Linked DNA regions of Neodiprion lecontei. The protein of the gene in region 2 interacts with the protein of the main gene of each other region in a pairwise test. Links are inferred from orthologs where the notes say so. Each region holds a gene or a part of one and is shown on either strand. Other genes may lie near its edges.

Evidence for each region. The genes of interacting proteins can lie anywhere in the genome.
Region 1: the proteins of vam6/Vps39-like protein (region 2) and ras-related protein Rab-2 interact in a two-hybrid assay, tested with the Drosophila melanogaster proteins (2 studies listed by BioGRID). The link is inferred for Neodiprion lecontei from reciprocal best matches to the Drosophila melanogaster genes Vps39 and Rab2.

What each region holds. Positions count from the first base shown.
Region 1 is NC_060266.1:24,867,590-24,878,988, forward strand, and holds ras-related protein Rab-2, read right to left. Parts: upstream 6,655-11,399; 5' UTR 6,532-6,654; coding exon 6,486-6,531; intron 6,052-6,485; coding exon 5,912-6,051; intron 5,834-5,911; coding exon 5,477-5,833; intron 5,405-5,476; coding exon 5,303-5,404; 3' UTR 3,659-5,302; downstream 1-3,658. Other genes in the region: ribosomal protein S6 kinase alpha-5, read left to right, coding at 1-1,346; methyltransferase-like protein 25B, read right to left, coding at 7,377-7,650, 7,776-7,885, 7,956-8,097, 8,168-8,470, 8,574-8,722, 8,927-9,167, 9,317-9,426, 9,712-9,870. UniProt on the Drosophila melanogaster protein: May be involved in bidirectional endoplasmic reticulum (ER) to Golgi trafficking. Together with Rab7 involved in promoting fusion of autophagosomes and endosomes with lysosomes, probably through recruitment of the HOPS tethering complex.
Region 2 is NC_060265.1:27,121,932-27,134,483, forward strand, and holds vam6/Vps39-like protein, read right to left. Parts: upstream 7,282-12,552; 5' UTR 7,086-7,281; coding exon 7,016-7,085; intron 6,898-7,015; coding exon 6,724-6,897; intron 6,644-6,723; coding exon 6,391-6,643; intron 6,296-6,390; coding exon 6,063-6,295; intron 5,976-6,062; coding exon 5,731-5,975; intron 5,649-5,730; coding exon 5,205-5,648; intron 5,120-5,204; coding exon 4,802-5,119; intron 4,684-4,801; coding exon 4,257-4,683; intron 4,196-4,256; coding exon 4,085-4,195; intron 3,984-4,084; coding exon 3,659-3,983; intron 3,454-3,658; coding exon 3,390-3,453; 3' UTR 3,059-3,389; downstream 1-3,058. Other genes in the region: N-alpha-acetyltransferase 38, NatC auxiliary subunit, read right to left, coding at 7,504-7,746, 7,922-7,987; H/ACA ribonucleoprotein complex non-core subunit NAF1, read left to right, coding at 8,317-9,161, 9,272-9,398, 9,486-9,754, 9,862-10,040, 10,149-10,576; putative ATP-dependent RNA helicase DHX57, read right to left, coding at 11,307-11,450, 11,573-12,184, 12,268-12,552. UniProt on the Drosophila melanogaster protein: Part of the homotypic fusion and vacuole protein sorting (HOPS) tethering complex involved in endo-lysosomal vesicle trafficking and lysosome biogenesis.

The DNA of each region.
Region 1 (11,399 bases), on a different chromosome or scaffold from region 2:
AGGAGTTTGCGGTGAAAATAGTTAGCCGAAGGGTTGACTGTGGAAGGGAGGCGAATTTATTGAAGATCTGCCAGGGCCATCCGAGTATTGTAAAACTGATAGACGTTTACAAAGATCGAGCGCATACCTATCTAGTAATGGAACTTTTGAAGGGAGGTGAGCTGATGCGGAAGTCTCGTTCCTTCCCCGAGTCTCAGGCAAGTCGAATAATGCGCCAGCTTGCCTCAGCGGTAAGTTTCATGCACGCAAAAGGCGTCGTACACCGGGACCTCAAGCCGGAAAACATAGTATTTGCCAACACAGGCGATGACTTGTTGGTCAAGGTGGTTGACTTTGGGTTTGCGAGAATTAAACAAGGCCGCGAGCCTCTTCACACTCCCTGCTTCACGCTTCCCTATGCAGCGCCAGAGGTTCTTGCCAGGCAAGGGTACGACGAGAGCTGTGACCTCTGGAGTTTGGGCGCCATCCTTTATTCCATGCTTTCGGGACGGCCACCATTCCGTACGGATTCACCGGATTTTGCATCGCGCGTCAAGACGGGTGACGTGGACTTCGAGGGAGAGGCATGGCGAGGTGTTTCAGCATCGGCGAAGAACGTTGCACAGGGTCTTTTGACCACAGATCCCAATCGGAGACTCACTGCCACCGAGCTTGTTAATCACGAGTGGATTTTAGGCTCAACTACACCTGCCGCCGCACCAATAGCCGGATCCTCTTCTTCTTCTACATCAGCCTCAACCTCAACGAGCGAAAAGGGGCAGAGCTTTAAGCTGAGGGAGGTCGATTCGGCAAAGCTTGCGCAAAGACGAAGGCTTCCCAAGCGGTCCACATCGAGTTCCGCGTCTTCTTCGGCTTCCATTGCCTCCTCGAACGCCTCGGTACAGCTACTGCAACCACCCAGCGCGAGCACCACCGTCGCTTCCGCCTCCCCTGCGCAACCCAGTGCTTTTGACTTTGGCGAGGAAAGGGTAAACGAATATCTCAGTTCTTTGTCTTCCTCGTCCGACTCGAATTCGCCAAGAATAACTAGCCGGAAGACTGAGAGGTCGGATCACCCCGGTGGCTCCAGAGCCAAAAGACGCAAACGCGATCATGACGACGTGATTCTTCAGCAAGACGATAATGGAAGTGGTAACGGAAGTGGAGGCGGAAATGGTAGCGGAAATGAAAACGGCCCGATTACAAGATCGAGAAAACGAAAGTTGGATCTAAATACAAGCGGTTCTGATAGCTGTGTCGAATTTATCGATGCAACGACGAGCCCTGGTAAAAGAGATACAATTGTACACAGAAAACAGAGAACTGGAAAACGGCCCAAGCGACTACCTACCATAATAGTAGAGTAAAAATTGCTTGTAAGCGTTTGGTAAGTTAAAGCTGACGATTTTACTCGTTTTTGTTTCCTATGCATTTTCCGTGACGTAACGCTGCTGCCTTTGGGAGTTGATCGTGCAAGACGCGGATATCGCACCATTCCTATCTCAGTACTTTTAGATTCTTTGTAAATACATGTAGGTAAGTGTTGATTTGAGCATCGCCATTGTCGCCTACTACATTTTCAAGTGGCGTCTTTGATCAGTTTATGAAGTGAAGCTGTTGATTTTTTTAACGGGTAGGTAGGGTAAATAATAATAATACTAACGACGACGACATAGGTAAAAAGAAGAGAGTGAAGTATGAAGTTATTTTTATTGTGGAGTATGTAAAAAAAAGAGCATATCTAAAATTTGTTTATCTTTTCTGCAATATTATAGTTATGCGCGCGCGCACGCACACACACACACACACACACACACACACACACACACACACACACACACACATGCATACACACACACCACGCACACATGCACATGTATATGATACATGTAATATATACATCCACATATATATGAATATAGATGATGTATAATTCTTGGGTTTTCTGTGATTACATGTTGTATAAATGAAACGTTGTATCGAATCGTTGACAATTGTTTAATACACACATACTGTGACTGTGCCTCGGGTATACCCAATTCTAAGAGTATACGGGAAAAACTTGGACTGGTGCCGTGTTAGTTGATACTATTTTTGAATCGTTATTATCGATAATTTAAACTACATTCGTGAAACTAAAATGTTACGGCTTTTTAAGAATTACTTTCGATGACGGTTTCCAGTCACGTTTCCCAAAACTCTTGACGAAAACTAACTGAATGCTAGAATATACATGTAATCGAGCTGGCCTTTTTGCCTTCGGAAAAAAAAAATTATAAGCCTGTTTTACCACTTACCTACATATTAATTAACACGGGATTGCCGCGATTGTACGACTGCTGTAGGTAACGGATAAAAAAAAAATAAAAAAAATTATATATATAAATTAAATTTAAAAGACATAAAAAAGAATAAAAACCAATAAAGTAAAAGAGTAATGGGAAAGACTGAAGAGGTTGTATAAGACCAACTCAGGGAACAGGCATGCTTACAATAAAACGTCTTTAGTTATCGATATACGAGAGATACAGGTTCTGCAAGGCTGTACGCACACCTCTGCCAAAGACGACTGAAGCAACGTTACACTGTAAGACCAAACGAAAACAAACAAAAAAAAAAAAACGAAGTAAAAAAAGAAAAACAAAAAAATCATGAAATCAATAACTGTAACAATAATAATAATTATAATAATGATGATACTAATAGTAGTAACAAGAATAACAATAAATCAATAATTAAACGTAATAAACCGAATCGTATATACAAAGCTGTGCACTGATTGCAAAACGGCGCTATGGCGCTGCTTATTATATTACTACTATAAATTGTACTTTAAATAACGTAATAGATACACCTTACATATTATTATGGCTAATTGAAATTGAACAGAAATAATAAATATGAAAAGAAAACATAAAAATAATTATATATTTAATATAATCGTATGTAAGAAGTGATATTCTTTAACAAGATGCGTATAATACGAATATATACGTATATGTGTACGTATGCTTTCATATGTATACATATATGCATGTTTTTATTTAGGAACATAGTCATTATGAATCATAAATTAAATTAATTATTGCTAATGAAGTAAAATTTCGTTTCCTGTCTTTTATTTAAAAAATTTTTCCTTCTTTCTCTTGTGATATACAGTACCACTATTGTTAGCTACATTGTAATAGACAATTATCCTTTGCTGAAAGTGTATGTGATATGTTATATTGCATACACAGAAAGTATAACTAGCAGCTTCTATGAAATATGAAGAACGCTGTTTTGTTGCTATGGATGCATGAAAGAGATGCCTCCTTTGTTACTACTGGTTGTTTAAATATATCATACGATGTTTATTTATATCCTGTGTATTTTGCATCTTTACACCCTGGTCTACACGCGCCGGCAACAACACCGTGAACCTTGAAACCTAGTCGTTTTTAGATTGGTCCTGTGTCTGTAAGAGCGGAAAACTCACGTATATGATGATAATTAACTAATGAGTTTAAATACATTGGAGTGGCTTAATGTTCAAATGATCATCAAGCAAAGTTGTATCGAGACGGTAATTTAGCCTTGTCGGGAAAATATAGTTAGACACTGTATCTTATACTTTCTGCTAATGGGGTGCTTGGTATAAATAGTATGTCTAACGAATGTTTAAAATTAAATGCACGAGTAAATCAGAAAACCAGCATATATTATAGTAGAATGGTAAAAGAAAGATACATAAGCGTGATTAAAATTTAAAACGCTAGTTGATGTACAAGTAAAATATTTCCTTATTATAATAATTGGACATATCATAAACTAACTTTACCAAGCTCCAAGGATAGTACAATAATCATAATTAAATAATGATAAGTAAATTACGGATCACAACGAATTATCAGTTTATCGTACACGTAATTCTCAATTCACCGATGATTTCATTTCAATTCAAATTATACATGTTATAATATTTTTGTATATATTATTATGTATGCAATGTTGAATATCAAGTGAGTCAAGTTTAATCTTCACTACGCTTGTTGCGATATACATATTTCTTTTTCCTTCACTTCATTTCTCTTCTTTTCATGATTAAGATAATCGGACATTCACTTTTATATTGACTAGGACTAAAACAATCGTAATGAGATGAAGGTGCATGTGTGCTAACTGTTTTGCTAAATTAAAATAAGTCTTTAAACGTTTTTCTTAACATGTTTGTTGACAAAACAAACGTCTGATTTGATTGAGGGAGTTGACTTTACGATTCATTGATCAGAGACGGCGTCAGGCTCTTACATAATAATTCACGAAAATGCTTTAAGCCATTCAAGTGTATAAAATCCAAGCTGACGTACTGAGTAAAATATAGGAAAATGATACAGAAATAGAAGGGGAGAAGACGTATTTGATGCATAAGATCAACGAGAAGGAACAACAAATAGTTGTGTAAATTGTTGTGGAGCACATCCGTTTCCCGACAGTTTCAAATGCTTTACGATTCTCGTTATCCTACTATCCCCTAAAATTTTATCATCAGTTTGCTATCGAGACGTTAACGAAAGTTACGTAAACTGATTGATGATAGTCGTTACCTTTAATAATTCTATATGTAAACAAAAACATTGATTTTGGTTACATAGGTCTCCAAACTGGAGTTTAATTGAAATTAATCTTTGTATTCGTCATATAGGTACATCAATAGTACATCCATATACATGCTGTCGCGTTAAGGTAATTGATTTAGTATAAGCCAATATTCCTGCTCCAAGTAAAATAATAACTTTTACGAATTTTTTATTTTATTCTTTTTCCGTTTCATTTCACCAAATGGAGCCTGCGGGGTCGGGAGGGTCATACTGGCCATTCAATAACACTATTGTTAATATTGAATACAAAGAGTTTTTCTGTCTTACATGTATTTTAAAACACGGGAATCAAGCTGTCGCTCGTCATTCCTTATACATCGGTTTCATTCAGAGCGTCAAAGTTCTAAGTTTACACACGAAGTTTTATACGTTGAAGGAGTACCGCTAAGAGTCTCGTTAAGTGAAAACTGCCTACTCTCTGTTTATGTACTATTTTGTTTATCAACCCTGAATAAATCACGCGACAAATCTTATTTATTACAATATCGAATAAGATTCTGAAAACTATAAATTATACCAATTACTGCCCATCCATCGATACACTGAATCGATACGCGACGTACACACAAATATACAAATGAATATACAAATCGTTGAAAACGTGGAGCAGGAACGGGATGGAGGGGGGGGGGATCGTTTTAGATCGGTTCGCAGGGAAACGGGGAGCAGCGAAGCCCCAGCCCCTAGCAACATCCACCACCTTGAGCGCCACCCTGACCTCCAGTTCCCGCCAAGCCACCTGGGCTTGTCGGCGAATGCTGAGGTCCAATTTTGATGCCGTTTGCCTGAAAAAAATAAATTCCGTAAGACCATTTCACACCTCTTAAACTTATCTTAGTTCCTGATCTATTTCTCACCTCATTGTTGATGTCAAAGACACCTTCTTGTATTTTTTCATAAATCTCTTTGGCAGTGTTGATAAATGCTTCTTCGACGTTGGCTGCAGTCTTTGCACTCGTTTCCATGAATACAAGACCATGTTCTCGAGCGAACGCCTCACCCTCTTCTCTTTTAACCTCTCTCCGTGAATCAAGATCGCTCTTGTTTCCAATCAGCATTATAACCATGTTGGAATTGGAATGCTGCCGTGCGTCTTCTAGCCATGTTGTTAAATGGTTAAAAGTCTCTCTGCGAGTTATATCGTAGACGAGTAGGGCTCCTGCCGCGCCACGATAATATGATCTTGTTATGGAACGGAACGCTTCTTGCCCTGCCTGCGAGTAAATTAAATCAAGAATTTTAAAAAAGTAAATGAAAATGAACTGAATTTCATATGCAGCTTTGTTCTTTACCGTATCCCAAATCTGCAGCTTAATCTGTTTCCCATCAATTGTGATCATACGCGCGCCAAACTCAACGCCAATAGTCAAATCATGTACTGGTTGAAACCTTTTGTCTGTGAATTGCAGCAGGAGACACGACTTGCCGACTCCTGTGAATGAGATTATAGACAAGATTTTTATCGTCGGAAGAAGCTGTTGACATTAGCAAGACGATGCAAAGAAAAACGTAAGATCCGCATGAATCATCCGAATAATCATTAGATTAAATACTGCTTAGAACAATTAGAAATGAGGTTAATTTTTACTGTAAAATTTCCATCAAAAATATGATCGCAATCGTTTATTGAGAATGAATATTCATCAGCTCTAATATCCAGGTAACCTCGGCCGAGGATTGGGGCAATGAAAAAAAACTGATTTTTCTCGTCTGTCTAGCCAAGAGGGGTTAGTCGAAAGAAAAAATGAAGGAAGTGTGAATATTGGTGAATGCAATGACATGAAAACAATGGGAGCTGTCACGGCAACGTAATACAGACAGATGATCGGGATTCTGAAAGAGTTTGTCGAGTCTCCAACAACTTACCCGTATCACCGATGATAATGTATTTGAAAAGGTAAGCGTAAGACATTTCAAATTCTACAAAGTTCGTCAAAACACGGTAATTTTCAAAGTACACGACGAGGGAAGCGTAGTAGTTTCGTTTCAACGCTCTTTCAGTTGCTTATTATTTCGCTTATCTCTTCTGCTGGCCGTGACGTCACTCGATATACTTCGGCACTGTTCGGTCGCATTCGGACTCCTCCTGAAGTCTGATTCGGAATTTGGACGCTCGGATATTTTCTTTTCTTTTAACCAGCAAAGTCCAAACTACGCGATTCCCTATCTGAGGCCTGGCCGTAGACCTTCTTGATATCTCATCCTTTCGTTTCACTCACGTTTAATTAAATTTCCAGCTATGCAACGATGCGAATTTTCGCGTAGTAATCTGCGTTTGAATTTTCTGAGAAAACAAAAGCATCACGCCTGCGCGCGCAATGGATTGTGGGACAAGCGTAGAGCGCGTTGTTGAATTGCGATCGAGTCACACTAAACACATTTTTTTTACACGATTATCGCGTTTGATTGTTCTAATATCCGTGATTTCGAAAAATATGAATACTGGAACGATTCTGAAGCAGTCTAATCGCCACCGCAAAAGTCATGTGGGTTGAAATAAGAAAGAACGAAATAGGGTACAATCTCAAGCATTAATTTGGAACTCGGCGTACTTTCATCTGTTTTTTACTTCTGTACACTGTATGTACCTGGTACGAAATATTCAGTTACTTGCATAAATAGGCTTATTAAATTAATCAGACATGTTGTTAAAGCATGCAGTGAAACAGGGTGAACAATTTTCCTTCTTTATTGTGAATTTGTAAACAGACCAAAATCCCTGTTGTACAATTTTTGAGCAAATGACACAATATTCAGTTACTTAATAGATGTTAATACAAAGTTTCTCGGCGATAGAAATGGGTCGAAGACAGCCTTTAATTTTGGCGATAAATTTTTCTCTGACAGGTACAAGAATCTATCCAACAAAACTGCACTCTCGACCAACGGTGCTAGCATCGATCTGAGGGAACCAAATACCACAACCTGTTCCCAGCGTTCTAGCAACTCGGCTGTTTTAGGATTTCTAATTTCCTCTACCCTCCGTGGACGATTCTCTTCAGTAAAATTTTCTGTAACTGCCATGCAGTACCTGCAAAATACAAGTGAGTATTCATATCTCAGTCTTAGCTTAAACTGCATAGAAACAGTCAAGGATTTAAAAGTTAATATTGATTAAGGAAATATTTTCATCACGAGTAACCGTAAACTACTGACTCTTCAAATGTGGTATTTTCCTTGAGCTTGAAACTTTTGAGCTGAGCATGACGTAGAGAGGAGTTTCTCTGAACGATGAGACTCTCTAGCGTTGCTCGATAAGCATGTATCTATAACCAAAGGAATATTTCATAATGAATACAATGCTCGCAATGCTGTAGAAATAAATTACAGTCATACTTTGAGTTCCCAGCATTCGGCAGACTTCAATTTTATGCAATGGTTTTCTACCGCATGGCAGGCAACTTCCAAAGCTGTGTACGAGAGATCGTAATCAATCCCAGTTGTGCGTAGATATTTGCTGAGAGGGTAGCTCTGCGGGCTTTAAATTCTCGAGTTAAATTATAAGCGAATAATAAGAATCTAAAACTTTTGTTATTCAAACTCCTTACCCAAGCGAAAGCTTCATGTAGCAGCATCCTGCGACGCAAATGAACTTAGCACGGTCCGACTCTGCGTAAGATTGTAGCAGCGTTGTTGCCAAATCCCCGCAGGGATGTAAACCAATCAAACCGAATCCTGAAAATTCTGGATTTAATCTGAACTTTTCTGTAAATTCTTTGTTTATTATATCCATGAAAAAGGACAATTCAGATGAATCTCTTTCTATCTTCAAAGACACGTGATGCGGTTTTTGCTCTCGGATGTTGGTTACGTACTTCATGGCGATAGATTCAAATTGTGTATCTAGTTTTCTGTAGAAGAAACATTAGCAGATTTCATCAATCTTGATATCATCTCACCTATATTCAGTTTTCTACCTACTAACACATTTTTATTTTTCCAGAAATTGCGTACCTGGCTTGTTCCGACAATAAAGACTGCTGTTCAACGCAAATTATGCACATCTCGTGTCGATAAGCAAGCGTTCTAGCGAGGTGACCAATTCCGGCTCCAACATCGACAGCGCATTCCGATTTCGCCGAAGCAGCACAATCCGCTATTATCTGAAAATTCAGCAAACCTTCAGAGTTTACAACGTCGATTCTTGGTAAGAAATTATCACGCGACTGACAGTTCAAACCGAACACCTGCGGTCGCGCATGATGCAATCAATGTAAAATATTTGCCTCCTTTCCGCTAGAAACTAATTATGCAGCTAATTAAGGCGAGTAATGTTAAAAGGCAGTTACGCGTTAGTAACTAATTACCTTCGCCATTATTTCGATTTCATGTTTCTTTTTCGGTTTTACGTGTTTGCCAAGTAAATCGCGTAACTTCGAATGACTCGAACACGTGCTCGGTTTCACTTGAGGCTTGACAAAATCCGTATTCTCCGTTTTACGGACATTTTCGCATTTCAACGCGATCTCGCTCCTCTGATTTCTGTGTACCTGTAAGATACCGACGACTCGACGAAGCGCCTGCAGAGATAACGGCCAGACTCGGACACTGAATGGGATAAAATGTTTCGGTAGTACAGTTGCTTGATATTCAAATCGACAAGGAAAATGATTATTGAGTAATATTATTCTTGAATATGAAATGATTATATGAAATATGATATGAAAATGATTATTCTTAATCTTGTTACTTATCACCTCGAACCCTCGTTCAAAATCCAGGATCCAAGTTCCCCCGGCGTGATGTCTTTGAAGAAATCGATCCAACCACCCGGAAGTCTTTCCCATAAATCGGCCTCGTAAAAATCCTTGGAAATGTTGAGCATGAAAAAATATCAATAATGTGAATGAAATTTTTCACTTCTTACCCAATAGTTTTTTAATCTTTCGCGCGCTGCACGAGGCCGCAACTTTCGGCCGACGAAAAGACCTAGTAGCTAGCGGAATCGCTGCTCTAGATTCTTGCACGTTCGTGGAACAGCATCTCGACTGGGTGATAATAACAAGAATAATAAACCGACCAGCGATCCTAACGTATTGTTCTCCTTCTGTTCTAGGCAAATTAAACGGTACAGAAATCGATAAAAACTAACCACGATGTAGGCGTCCAGAAGCCATCGGTATTTGTCAAGAACGATAAATATTTGGCGTACGGTTTCTCGCACGGAGTCGCAAATTCGGCATAAGCAGGTGCCGGACCCGGTGTTATCGACGGTGGCCATCGTGGTCGTATCTTGCACGGTATATTTCATGTATATTTCAAGTTTGGTTCAATTATCCCGCCGGGATAGACGCATCTTTTTTGAAGAGGCGTGCCGTATTCCCAGGGAGCTATTTTTTCCCGCGGTCCTGTAAATAATTGTACATCATTATATCCCTTGTAAGAGGTATACTCCCACTTGCGTTACGCATACGAATTAATTACATCGTGTAATCTGCATGCGCGCGGGAATTTTGAATACCTTAATTATTATAAGCTGTCTAGGTAAGCAAGGGGTAAGAGTACGGAGTATATTCGCGTTCGGTTTATTTGTTAATTATAAACGCAAGTACCCACGATTCCCTCGTCCCACTTAGCAACACTTTCACTCTTCAGCAGTTACGTTATTGCCTGCCTGCCTGCCAGCACATCACTCGTCGGAAGAGTCGTATTTGCACGCGCGCACTGCATACAAGTGTAACACTTGTAATACGAATTTAAAGGTGTAATCACCGCCACATATCCACGGCGAAACGTATTGCGTGCGATGTACAAACTCTTGGATTTTTGTAAGAACTCCGTGGCTAACGTACAAACTGTATCGTTAGACGAGCTTCGTGGAGCGTGAGAATTGAACGAAATTGAAACTGTACCAGTACGACAAGATATATTATATATGTCCCAACTGCTGGCAACAGGTCGTTTTTTCTTTTTCGTCTACAAGTCGAAAGTCATATTCAAGCTTAGAAACATGAATTCGTTTTCTTAAGACGAAGTAAGAAAATACAGATATAACGATGAAACCGAATGAACTTCTTTTTCGATCGAACTATCGGTTGATGAATTTTTTTTTTTTTTCTCTAACCGAAATATTCAGCCGTTTGTAAATATGGATGTACGTCAATTTTTTCATTGGAATTTTTTTCTTCCGTTTACCGTTAGATCGTGCGCGATGGATTTTTTATTATGGTTAACTCCTGGATTCATCATCTGGACCTCTTACGCCAGTCGTAAGTGAAAGTTACACCAAGTAGGACGGACGAGCTCTTACACACATTTACGTGTATGCCTGTGTACAAATAAACGCAATTCTTCATCATACAGCTTCTCCGCATCATCCACTTTGATATATTCACCAAATATTCCATGTCTTCCGCTCCCCGCGCGGGGAGAATTCCTTTTACATACACAATGAAAAAAATTTTCTCATAACTTCTTTTTGCGAAAATCGTATACATGTTATAATATATACGTATAAGTTGGTTGATTCAATGAACGTGCAGCTTCGTACGGTCAAAGCGAGGAAGCTATTCTTTAACTTTCGAAATTCTTATAAACGTCTTTCAAGTCAAGGTTTAAAGGAATCCGCCTGACTATAATGTAGCCTCTCGCTTGTAAAAGTTAACAAGTGTATAATACCATCAATGCCCATAAAACGAATTCTTTTTTACACCGTTAGCGTTTCGAATGCTGTTAGACACATTAATTGTAAATGTTTTTCCCCTCATTCTCTTTCGTTTTTTTATTTATTTTTTAATTTCTTTCACCCAGGGATAAAGTTTAATATCACCTTTCTCGTTC
Region 2 (12,552 bases):
CAAAATATCTTTCCACGTTTTTTACGTTTTTTTTCCCCTTCTACTTCGCCTCTGATTTTTCCCCAACCTTTCCATTTCTCTAATTTTTGATCTCGCGATTTTTTGTTCTCTTTCTACTTCCGAGAAACACCGCAGTCCGTTAGAAATATCCGTGTGTACCAGCTTCTTGAGTTTTCGCGACAGCTTCCCATTGTATTATACCATATAGGTATACACATATAGTATACCAACGGGGTATAATGTACTACGAAGGAAAGACGGCTTGCACAGTGACTGTATACTTTGTTCATAACGGTTCTACAGTTAGATCGAGTAGATACGCGTAAAGAAGGTACAGGATAGATAGGTTCTTCTCCGTGAGATGCGGAGAGGAGGAATGAGGCAAAACTTTACGCTCGCTGCGTGAAAGTTTCGAATGTGATTGAAGAATAGGGCATAGATCATGTGAGCATGTGGTTAGAGTGTTATAAAACGACGAAGCCTTAGAGTACCGTAGACGTTTTTTTATTTCTATTATAAGGCGAAAGATTACATGCACCGAAAGTAAAATAATATCGTATGAAATCAACGAAAAACATACGCGCACGTTATTTTGGAATTTAAGTATACCGACTTAAAATGAGTGAGCGAACAGTAAAAAGATAGACCGTACATTTGGTCGTAATTCGAAACAGTCATTATGTCAGGCTCTTACAAGTACATATGTGTACTATGTGTATGTGTCTAAGGTATGGTAGATAAGGTGGAAAAAACGTAGATATAGGATATATCATATATATACGGTATGTAATATATCTGTCGATTTAATCAACCGTTAAGAATGGTCTAATTTCACGACGATTATATACATAACCGAATATGAAGGGAACTTTTTAATATTGATTTTATATACACCTATATGCGTACAATTATATACCTGCGTGTATTGACGTGACGAAACTCAAGGGACGCTTGTCTATGTAAAAGATATAAAAGGTATACAAAGGGGAATACGTGTAAGGATAAGATATAACGGATCGAGATTATACTGATTTTTCAAATACATTCTCAACCGATATTATTTCAGAAGAGACAAATTACTGCGCGTAATTTCCAAGTCTCATTTCAAACGTATAGACACGTAGTCAAGTTTGCTTGAGGCAGCTGGTGCATACAAAATACATCGTCAAGACGGTTGGCTTCTTTGCATAAAATTTTCGTCCTGGCAATCGATTGGATAAAAGAAGGCGGACGCATTTCCGACAAATTTTATGTTCCAGACTACCGCATACACACGTTGTATGAATATCGTGTTTTCAAATATTTATACGACCGGGTTACGCTATATAATAAACACACTTTTCATACACGAATGTATGCGTATAGTAAATTTTCATCGACTACGAAAAGTTTTATATCGTGCCGAAATTAGAACATTCCTTCGGTACGATGTGAGGGAAAGAAAAAAAAATAAATAATAAAGAACGAAGAGAACGTGTACCGTCGGAGGAAATGATTTCTATCGCGCATCTTCCGCGCAAACAATTTATTTATAATAAAACGATGTCAGGAGAGAATCGGTAAATTATCGAATTCACAAGATATTTAAATGAAAAGTTGAGTAGGTTTTTTTAGTAGGGAAAGGGATTTGACGAACGGTTGCAAAGGAACTTCTTCGCGTATACTGTTAATTTATTAATTTATTCAGTCAGCGTTGTGTCGTCCCTTTAGAGCGCAGCTCCTGCACCTGCCGGCTTGACGTAACAGTAAACAGAGCAGACCGAGAACAATTGAATAACGATGCGAGAGAGTTGGAATACGGAATGAAGCAAAAAGGCAGCTTACTGTATCATTGTTGGCTCTGTTTTTGTTCGAATTAAGTAACAACAATTTGGTCATTGGCAGTCCTGACAGGTACGGAAGGGATTATATCTAAGCTCGATCGAACGTCGTGCCTAAATCATTAGGCTAATGATAAGGATGCGGTGGGCAACGTCGTTACAGACAATTGTTCGTTGATGCGATTTGTATAAACCGCGACGATTTCTTTCAATTTTTATTTCAATTACAGTGAAATTATCGAGTAGAAACGGACTTCAATTTTTTCTTCATCCCAGTGGACGCCGTTAATGCAGGTAATCGGATTGACATAGTTTCGGTGAAAATTTGAAAATCGAGGTATTACCGAGCGCCTTGAGGGAAAATTGAACGTGGCAGGATGTACGGCGATCTCTTCAAACGTGGTATCGAGTCGTGAAATATCTCGGTATGCGTTATAATCAGTAAATTAGGAAACCGAGAGTAAATCGACCACCATTTTTACGGGAGACAAGATTCCGCCCGTCAATCCGCGTACGATCCTACAAACGGTAGCTATACTCGACACTCTCTCACAATTGTTTCGACGTGTGACTTACCCTGGCTAAAAAATACTCCCAAGCACCGTTTCACCTCAAAACTTGCATAAAAACTCCACAAAATACACGATAAACCACTTCTAGATTCACTCGGTACGTCTCCTCACTCACACGACCGGCGCGCAACCAACTGTGCAATGCAACACGGCGTCCAGACCTCGCGGAGAAGAACTAGTCCCGCCTACTCGCGCGTCGCGACGCCGAGAATCACGTTCACGGCGAAATATTTGGCCGCCGTAAAAGACGACGGTGTATCCCGAACGATAATTCATCCGAAAAGTGAATTGCAGACTCCGATTTCATGCGTTTTTAGTCAATTTCAGGGATCACGCATGTAAACTATAGACTCACGGACTATAGTGACATTGGGCGTATGAATACACTAAGAGTATGACATCATCGGCCCCGTTTACACATTTTGCCGATGGGCACGCCCCATCCTTCAATGATCCTTATTATTTGCTGTATTTTATATTTATTCGATACTTAATACGTTATTATTGGGCGATAATCTCGGCACAGAAGAATCGTTGTATCCCGGGCACGATCTTTCGGCTTTGAACGCGTTCGATCAATCTTAGCAGATGTAGTATCGTTATATATTTTATCCATAATTTTGTGTTATCTTACACTAGGAATGAGAGTGACTTGGCTGAAAGAAATTATTTTTTGACCAAACTGTTGGCAGATATTTAATTTACTGATCATATACATAGCTACTGATTCGTTCGGTGCATTTGCACCTTAAGATTATACAGATACAGGCCTGGCAGCTGTTATATAAGTATAGTAGGTTCAACAGTCCAAGATTTACCAGCCGAGCATATGCGTTTACGTTGAAACACATAAAATAAATTCATAGGTAATATATGCAATAATAGATTCTTTGACTTCAATACCTTTGCACGTTTACTTGGGGATCATAGTATAGTAGTATTTATAAATGTTCGATTTCGATAATGTAAAATTATATACATATTCTTTTCACATACGTTACGCCTTTTTCTCTTGACATGAATAGTGAACAATATCACCATTGGCATATCTTGCAAATGCACTGTGAACAAAAAGAAAAACATAATTGTAATTAGTTTAGAAAAAACTGAGTAACACTGTTTCAAAATTTGTAATTTGTATGGTCCTTGGAGCGTATACCAACCAATCAATGTTTTTATTAAGTTTAATGACAATATGCAAGGATCATTCAGCTATAATCACAGTTATGGTTCGGTTAACGAATAGAGATTTTTGAAATGATTTACCTTTGATTTCCAAAACGTTTTTTGCATACCGGACAAATATTGAACTCCGTTAAGAGAACGCTCTGGGACTCGTAATGCATTCTTTGCTCCTGTACCTGGAGGTGTTCAGCATAAAGCAAGCCTTTCAGAATTTGGGTCCTTCGTCGTTCATTTAGATTATTCTGCAAGCTAGCCTCGAGGAAATGTCTTATCCGACCTATTGGTACATTGTCAGGCAAAACCTCCAAGGCTTTCAAGGGTTCGATTTTTGCAGCATGTTCCTCAAGCAATTCCAAAGCTGTTTCCAAGTCAGGTTGAGCTGTCCTTCGGTTCTCTGGAGTGCACCCTACAGTATAAAATAAGTTTACCAACAGGTACACTTAAAAGCGCAACTTCAAAAAATATTTCTGTAACACAATGCGAATCTTGAAAATGATAGAGATTTACCAGTAGCTACCAAGACACCTTCGTTGTCCGGCTTCAAAAGTTGCTTGATCAAAGTAACATAGACTTCGTCGGCCCCATCTTGATTTTTCCCCTTTTCTGAATTTTTCTGACCTTCAATACATATTCATCATGTAGAATGAATATTTTTATTATTCATTTAGATGATACCAACCTTCGAATTTTGCATATACATTACTGCAGAATTGAATCGCCTTGGGGACGTCATTTAATAAGTTTACATAGATGGAGATGGCCTGCTCGTGACGACCCAATCGTCCTAAAATAATCGCACGTTCTTCGAATAGGCAATTAAATGGTAAATGAACTAGGACCGTTTCTGGCGTGTAATGAGTTGACTTCTCTAAGAATTGTTGTAGTTTCTGTCGAAGGTGCTGAACATTTTGCTTTTCAGCCGGCGAAGCATTTGGGTTCAAGCCTGCTAAACACTTCTCTTTATATTGGTGTACCAGGACGTTGTGAAATAGAGGATTGTTATCCATCCAAAAATGAACCACATGCTCCAAGTACGTTATCACCAAGTCTTTGTGACAACGTAAAAGATAATCCAATACTTTGGGACGTGGCAAATGTTCAACTTCCTGTCGGCATTAAATATGTACAAGTTAGTAAAATAACGGCAGGGAGCTTCCACAGAGTATTCCATTCACAGAATATAAGAAAGATGAAAAATGTGGGTATGCTACTAATTATTATTACCTGCACATCTTCCATAAATATTCTGAGGCCCTGTTCTGGGTCCTGTTCCAAAACCCATCCAGAAAACTTCAAAATCAAATCCATATGGTCCTTACCTAGGTGCTGTAAGTATTGAATTGTTCTCTCGGTACCTCTTAGACTCGAATCACTTTCGTTGGATTGTTTCTCAAGCAACTCTAAAGCCTTCTTGTGCTGACCTTTTGTTTGATATAATATAATTAATTCTGGGTATTTCTGATATTTCAATAAAGTCTTCTCCGATTCTGCTAAATGGCAATGGTTTAAACGCAACAGTGGCGCTACCAAGGCATCATTTGTCTGTAAATGTAATTTATTGTAAGATTGAAGACTGCATTTTATTCTGAATAGCCAAAATATTAAGTAATACAAAATTGAGATTTACCTGTAAGTAACATTTGAGTAATGTTGTATCGATTATTTTTAAAAGCTGCTCTGTAGCCACAGCTGTTATATTCTTGGTTTTCTCTCCTTTCATTGTATCTTTCTCACTATTTTTCTCATTTTCTTTATCTTTTGCTTGCGTATCACCCATTAATTTATGTCTCACTTCTGTCAAGAACTTAATCAAGGCAAGCAAGCCTTGTTCCAAATCACGGTCTTGCAATATTGGCACAGTTGTAACATGTTCGCTAGTTTCATTGGCATTGGTTGGCTGGGAAACCAGATCAGGGAAAAGTCTGATTACTTCGTACGGATCAGTACCTGATTTGAAAAACTGCTCCATAGACTCGGCAAATTTTTTATTAGCAAAAAGATAGTGGGCGTATAACGTTTGTATTTTCCACGTTTTTTTTGCTTTTTCTTCTTCTGTTATGTCAGACAAATGCTAGAAACAGATAATTTACCATGATCATTGGTTGTTTAAACAATTATTTTATGAATTCTTCAATAATAAATGATATGCTCACAGTTAATTTTAAAGCCAGCTGAAACTGATTCTGTTCAAGAAGTGTTCGAATCTGATGCGTCACCTCCACGGCATTTATACACCAAACTTGGCTAACTGATGCTACATAAACAAGGCCCTTTCTACACCTGCACAATAATCTAGCTTTGTTAAGTTCTGGTATCGTTTGAATGTGTAAACAACCTTCCAAGGTATAAACTTCCAAAGTATCGTTAATTATACCCATGAGAAATGGATCATCCCATGCTAGAAAATAAATATTCTCGCAATATATTTTTTAATATCTCGAATTGAATTGTATTTAAGAAACACTGTTTTACTGATTATTGATACCTGTAGCACTAGGCGAATCTGGCCATTTGACAGAGTTGTGTTGGACCAATTCTCCTTTTGTGTTCATAAGAATTGACTGTGAATCTTTTCCTAAAGCAAAAGACGTGTCTGACAGTTTTGTTATCCCTGGTTCAGGAGACTTTCCACTTGGAAATAATTCCTTACTTGTACCATCTAGATCCAAAAGTATATAAGATAATCCACGGAATCCCAAAACCACAGTTTCTCCGCACCTACAGCGTAAAATGTTCCGAGCAAATTTAAATAAGATATGCAACCAATTGCTGCTCAACCTTTTTCTTTTACAATCTAATAACTTGTTTCGTACCACGACAAGACTCGAGGCACATCAGGAACAGTTAATTCTTCTCCAAAGTCTATAAATTGATCCACCTTCCACTCGTACAATTGTAATTTTCGCTTCACAGCAACACACAAGCGAACAATTGTATCTTTTTCACCTGTCAAACTCTGAGTACGTTGTACATCCAACACGAAGAGCGTCGCACCTTTCGTTTTTTGCAACTGACATATTTGAGGGATTGTTGCAGAATTTAAGTCATGTACGCAAATGATGTTGTCTAAAACATTGATTTTCGGACATTGTTATCGCCTTATTGGCAATTGAAAATTCAAATTTTTATTTTCTTATTCGACTCACCGGTCAAAAGTATCAACAAGTTGTACTCTGGTACAACTTCGATCTGCAAAATAGGTTTTTTGCTAAAGTTTTTACCGTATCGAAGCAATTGTAATTCTTGTTTGTCGTTTGACTTTGGAGGAACACTGTACATTAACAAATGTCCCTGTCTAGTGCCGATGAGTAAGTTATCATCTGTAAGTAAAAAGTTTCACTGATAATTCAAAGTTGCGTTTTATATATAATTTAGAATACTGCACAGTTATTTCAGTTAAGGTGTAGAACGATTGAGGTTATGTTTGGCGCTCATTACCGTAAGCAGTAATTGATTCGATCTGAACTGTCAATTTCAAGAGAGGTGAAGCTTCGTAGGCGTCGTGCATCTTAACACTCCGTTTGCACAAAGATGTTTGGATCTTCACGGTATTTTAACACCGTGGAATCTTACACTGACATTTCACTCCACGACGACGTTTGGGGTTCTGCTTCTGTCAGTTACCGTGCCACGCAGCACTTGTTTACATTAAACGTTGACGTCAGCTGGTTAGGTATTCAAAAATGGTGTCTCCACTGACTGACGATGTTACTTTTAAAGAATATCAATCCAAAAACCATCATTTTGTTTGAGCCGAGGGCTGTGCCGATTATAATAACTTTGTAGACAACAATGACCTTTACAGGTTACTTCAGTTGTGCTGGATGTTGATATTTGTGAGAGAATCGTAAGATAATATGTTACTAAAATGTATTGACTGGTCAATGTACAGACGTAGAATAGTTTATTCTTATACTTATTATTAATTATGCGTCTAAGTGAATTGTTACAATGTGTCGACCTGGCACCATAACAAGCCCCAGGGCTCTAGCTTCGGTGTGTTCTTCTGACAAGAATTCCGAACACGAGCCTAAAATAACATTGGCATCACGATCTGTACATAAAAAAGCCCCCGTCAAAACTCGGCCATCGGTCATTTTGATTTTAAGGTGACGATTCAGCCATCCTCTCAATTTTAGTTTGGCTGGTGATTCCTCCACTGGCAAGGCCTGAAAAAAACATGAATTAAAACAAATCAATTATACCTCATGTGTTTGTTCAGTTATGGATTGTATTAGCTAAAGGTAGTCATTTTTAATTGAAATAAATAATACCACATTTTTAGACAAAAATTTTCTAAATTATCATAACCGTCACATTCGCTAATTGTCACGATCCAATTACCTCTCCGTTACCGTGAACAGCCTCAGTATTTGGAGTTGTCGACATGCTGTGCACCGTGTCTTTCATATTCTTGTTGATTTATTAGGATAGGTGAAAATCTAAACGTATTATACAATTACAATCAGTTTGCTTGCGCAATTTTCCACAAGTAAAACCAGCAACAACAAAATCGTTGACAAAATAAAACCGTTCCTGACATCTATCAAAGTGTTGAAGAAACTCGGTGGAAGTTAGATAATACCGAGCTAGAGGGAGCGGAAAGTAGCTGAGACGGCGGAGCTATGGCGCATGGTATTTTTTAAACTTTCCGCGGTATGTACATCATTAACTATTGTTCATTTCGCATGTAAAAATACTGTCTACACCAAAGTAAATTACCAATAAATCATAATACCATGTCTTCCGAGGGCGTAAGGGACCCTGAGAATCAGCGCGAAGATATTCTTCTAACCTCAAAATCAAGCAGGGTGGATATCGGTGAAGAGAATGTAAGAGACACTGTAGATGATGTAAAAATTGTATATTCTAACATCAAAGATGTCACAGAGAAAGATGAAATTACGGACTCGATAAAGTTGCTTCAACATACGTCAGAAACAAGTTCGAAGCATGATCTAATGGAGATTGACAGCTCGTATATGAAATCAGTAAATGATTCTGTCGAGGCCAATGTGACCACTGAGGAAGGTCAGATTAATGTACCTATTAGCATAGATGATGTCGAATCCTTGAAAGTTGTTGGAAATGGACTTGATACTCCAGAAATACAAGAAAGACACGCAACTCGGACAGCAAATTTGATCACATTGCCTGGTCAACTGGTTGCTCAAGACGCACAGAATGACAGGCCTATTGAGATCAAAAATAGTGATCAAAATGAGTTGATGCAAAAAGACAAAAGCGTTGAGAACGCAGCTTCGATGGATTTAATAAAAGCTCAGGCAGCTTCAAACTCAAGGGATGGTATCTCCAAAGTAGAGGTAATAAACGTAGTAAATTCCTTATCGTATTTAGCGGCAGAATATGCAAGTTCTGATTCGGATGAAAATGAAAAAAGACCATCATCACCATGCGAAGTAATTACCATTGTTGATGACCGTGGCAATGTGAGACAAAATAACACACAGTATCGAATGGAGTCTATAGATGATGACTCTGAAAGTGGATCTAGTAGTATAAATTCCAGTGGTAGCAATTATACCACAGAAACCGATAGTGATATTGATAGCGAATCAGACAGGTAAGACATTGCTAAATATTCCTTACCTGATGTGAAAAATTGCTTGTTGATGAATACTGCAGTTTGTGTGGACAAGATTTTGTTTGTGACGTATGATTGTTACATTGCAGCCCTATACGGGTCAGTAAAATTGATTTACCAAAAATCAAAAATATTAAAAGTGAGTTTGAGGGTCTACCGCCAATCGAAGAATTGAAAATTACAGTACCTGAAGAATCATGTGACCACCTAGGCGAGGTAAATATTTCTATATTTGACGGAAGATAGAATAGATGATGTAATTTTGTTTTATTTTCGTGAAATAATAATTTTATATGCCTCTAGGTCACTGGGTTTGTAGAGGAGTTTGTTATAGTACGACCAGTTTCGGGTAAACCCACTCTAAATCTTGATTCAATTTTATTTCTTGAAAAAGGCCAAAAAGTCCTTGGCAAGGTGTTTGATGTATTTGGTCATGTGGCTGATCCTCAATATTGTGTTCGATTCAACAGCGAAGCACACATTCAACAATCGGGGATTGTTTTGGGAATGGAAGTATATTATTCTCTAAACGATGAGCACACATCTCTGGTCTTCCTTCACGAATTAGTCAAGTAAATATTTACCTCTTAAGTTTACATCGCAGTCTCTCAGTACATGGCCATCGATTCCCAAGTCAGTTAGTGAACATTTGAAAACACGTATTTTCAACTCTTACTAGGCTGAAAGGTGCTGATATCTCTGGAGAAGACGATATGGAGCCTCCAGAATTTTCAGATGATGAGGAGGAACGAGCTTATAATCAGCTGCAAAGACAAAAGCAACGTCACAGACCAGGAATGTCAGAGAGTCATGATAACTGTGGTGATGTAGTGATCCCACAAAAACGTCAATGCCCCGGTAAGTATGTTTCAGTAAATTTGTAAATCTCTTAACAAAGTTAGCTAATTTCGGGTAATGTGATAGCATAAAAAATATTATGAAATTTCATTAATACGCTTATTATAGAACGTCCTCGAAATCCTTGGGGCACTGACTGGAGATCTCAAAACTATGGTAACCGCCCACCAAATCCAAATTCCGGCCATGGTACGCTTCGATGGATCTCTGATAATTGTCGGCCTTCATTTCAAAATTCGCCCAACTTACAAAACGTAACTCACTCGCCTAATCAGTCTTCCCCTCATCGGTACAGACACCCCAGCACATTTAATTCTAGTCAGTGTCAATGTCATCTATATACTAATCGGTACCAACAAAATAATATGTGTCTTCCAACAAATCCAGAATATGTGTTTGGTCAACCGGCGAATTTTCGGCCTAACTTTCCCTATTATGGAACGAATTTTTATCGACCTAATCCTTATCCATACCCTCATATGTCTTGGGGACCACCACCTCCTCCTCCTCCCCCACCTCCTCCGCCATCTATGTAATTCTAAATTCCATGTTTTAGCTTACATACTTAAGATTTAATAAACTTTACATCAATATTCACGACCAGATTCTCATCCTCCCCCTCACATGCTTGGGGACCACCACCACCACCACCTCCTCTTCCTCCTCCTCCTCCTCCTCCTCCTCCTCCTCATCCGCCACATCCTCCGTCATCTGTGTAATTCTAAGTTTCATGTTTTAGCTTACATGCTTAAAGATTTAATAAACCTTACATCAATATTCAGCATCACATATGTTAATTTGTCAACCATGTAGCACTCCATTAGTTACGGATACTATAATGTGTACAGAGGTAACGATTAGAAGTAAATGGGCTTCCAGCAATAACTACGGTAATGCACGATTTTTTCTGTTTTTTGTAAACATATTTGAAATATATTTATCTCTCTGAATTATTTAGTTCACTGTCCGTTATTATTTTCCAGGTATTCCGTATAGATAATATTGATGAATATTTACAATGCCTTTTTACAGTTTTAGGACACATTGTCGAATAATTGTCACAAGTTTTAAGTGTGCAGATATGCGTGTATAGATCTATAACACAAATACGATCCATTTAAGTAGGTATGGATAAGTCGAATGAATTCAATCAAATTTTATGAAATCTGAGAAAATCAAAGTCAAAATCAATTAAAAAATTTAAGCCGTTTTAAAATTAAACGTGAGGAATATTATTAAAAATAATTTATTTGATACTTAGAACGTCTAGTCTCTGGTTACTATATTCACGATGGTTTGAATAATTTTTTTTCCTTTCGAGTGGTGAACCAGATTCAATAAAGGGTCCTGCATCTTTTCTTCGAGAAGTTTAACCAATTCAACTCGCATGCGTTGCAACAGTTGAGCAACCTATGAAATAAAGGTTGTTAGTACAGTGAATTGCTAATTGTTTGCTTGTTTTAATCGTTTATCTTAATTTGTTATAACTACTCTCCATTGACCTCTGAAAATATTCAATAAGATTCACATACCCTGTGCGATTCAACGCTGAACATTATCCAGCCATCTTCTAGTGACAAGATGAAAGTTCCATTGTGTAACTCTATATCGATACCATAGCCAGAGAACAAGACTAACGCCAGCATCGGTACCATTGATACTTCCCTTATAAATATTCTGCTCGTCTTAATTTTTTCTTGAAAAACTAAGTATGGGCTAGAAAAGTGACCGACTGTGAAGTTGACCGAAGAAGGATGTATGTTCACGTATCCATCTTTAGTTTTGAACTTCAACTCCTCTGGTTTGGGCTGTCTTGGTATAGCGCCAGCTGATTGTAGTTGAAATGATTTTTCTGGCGTGAAAACTTTGGCTACGTTTGGGTACAAGGCAGCACACAAAAGTCCTTGTAGCAATTTATAATTTTCGTTGTTCGAATTCATTGCTGGTCCCGTTATTTCCAAGATCCTGTCATCTCCTGCTCGTCGTCTTCCTACATCGACTGGAACAAAGCCAATTGATACCAGAAGTTCTAAAAGTTGATGTTTAACATCAGCTAATGTTTGTAGTGTTCTCGTAGATAAATAGTTCTCGTTAGCAAAAACTTGACCCGCATACGAGCTATGTGAACAAGCATCTAGCCATTTCTAAAACAGAAAACAATTAAGGTCAAGATCCTAAATTTTGAGGTCAGTTGACACAATAGCTCGTATTTATGTACTGTACGCACCTTGTAAGCTTTTAGAATAGTCAATTGATCTGAATTTGCTGTAGCAAAATCCTTTTTCTTTGCATCAAGTTCATGCTTTTTGTCAAATGGCGCAACAAAAGGACTTTTATGGGACAAGCAGGCTGCAATTGTTAATGCAGAGTCGACGCAACAGAAAATAGCTCCGAAAAGAATTAGTTTTCCTATGCGAACGTCGAGGGGTAAGGCAGCTAAGTGGTGACCTAATGGAGTTAAACTACAATCTGGAGCTATAGCTCCTACATCTTGTAAACGTTTTATTGCATC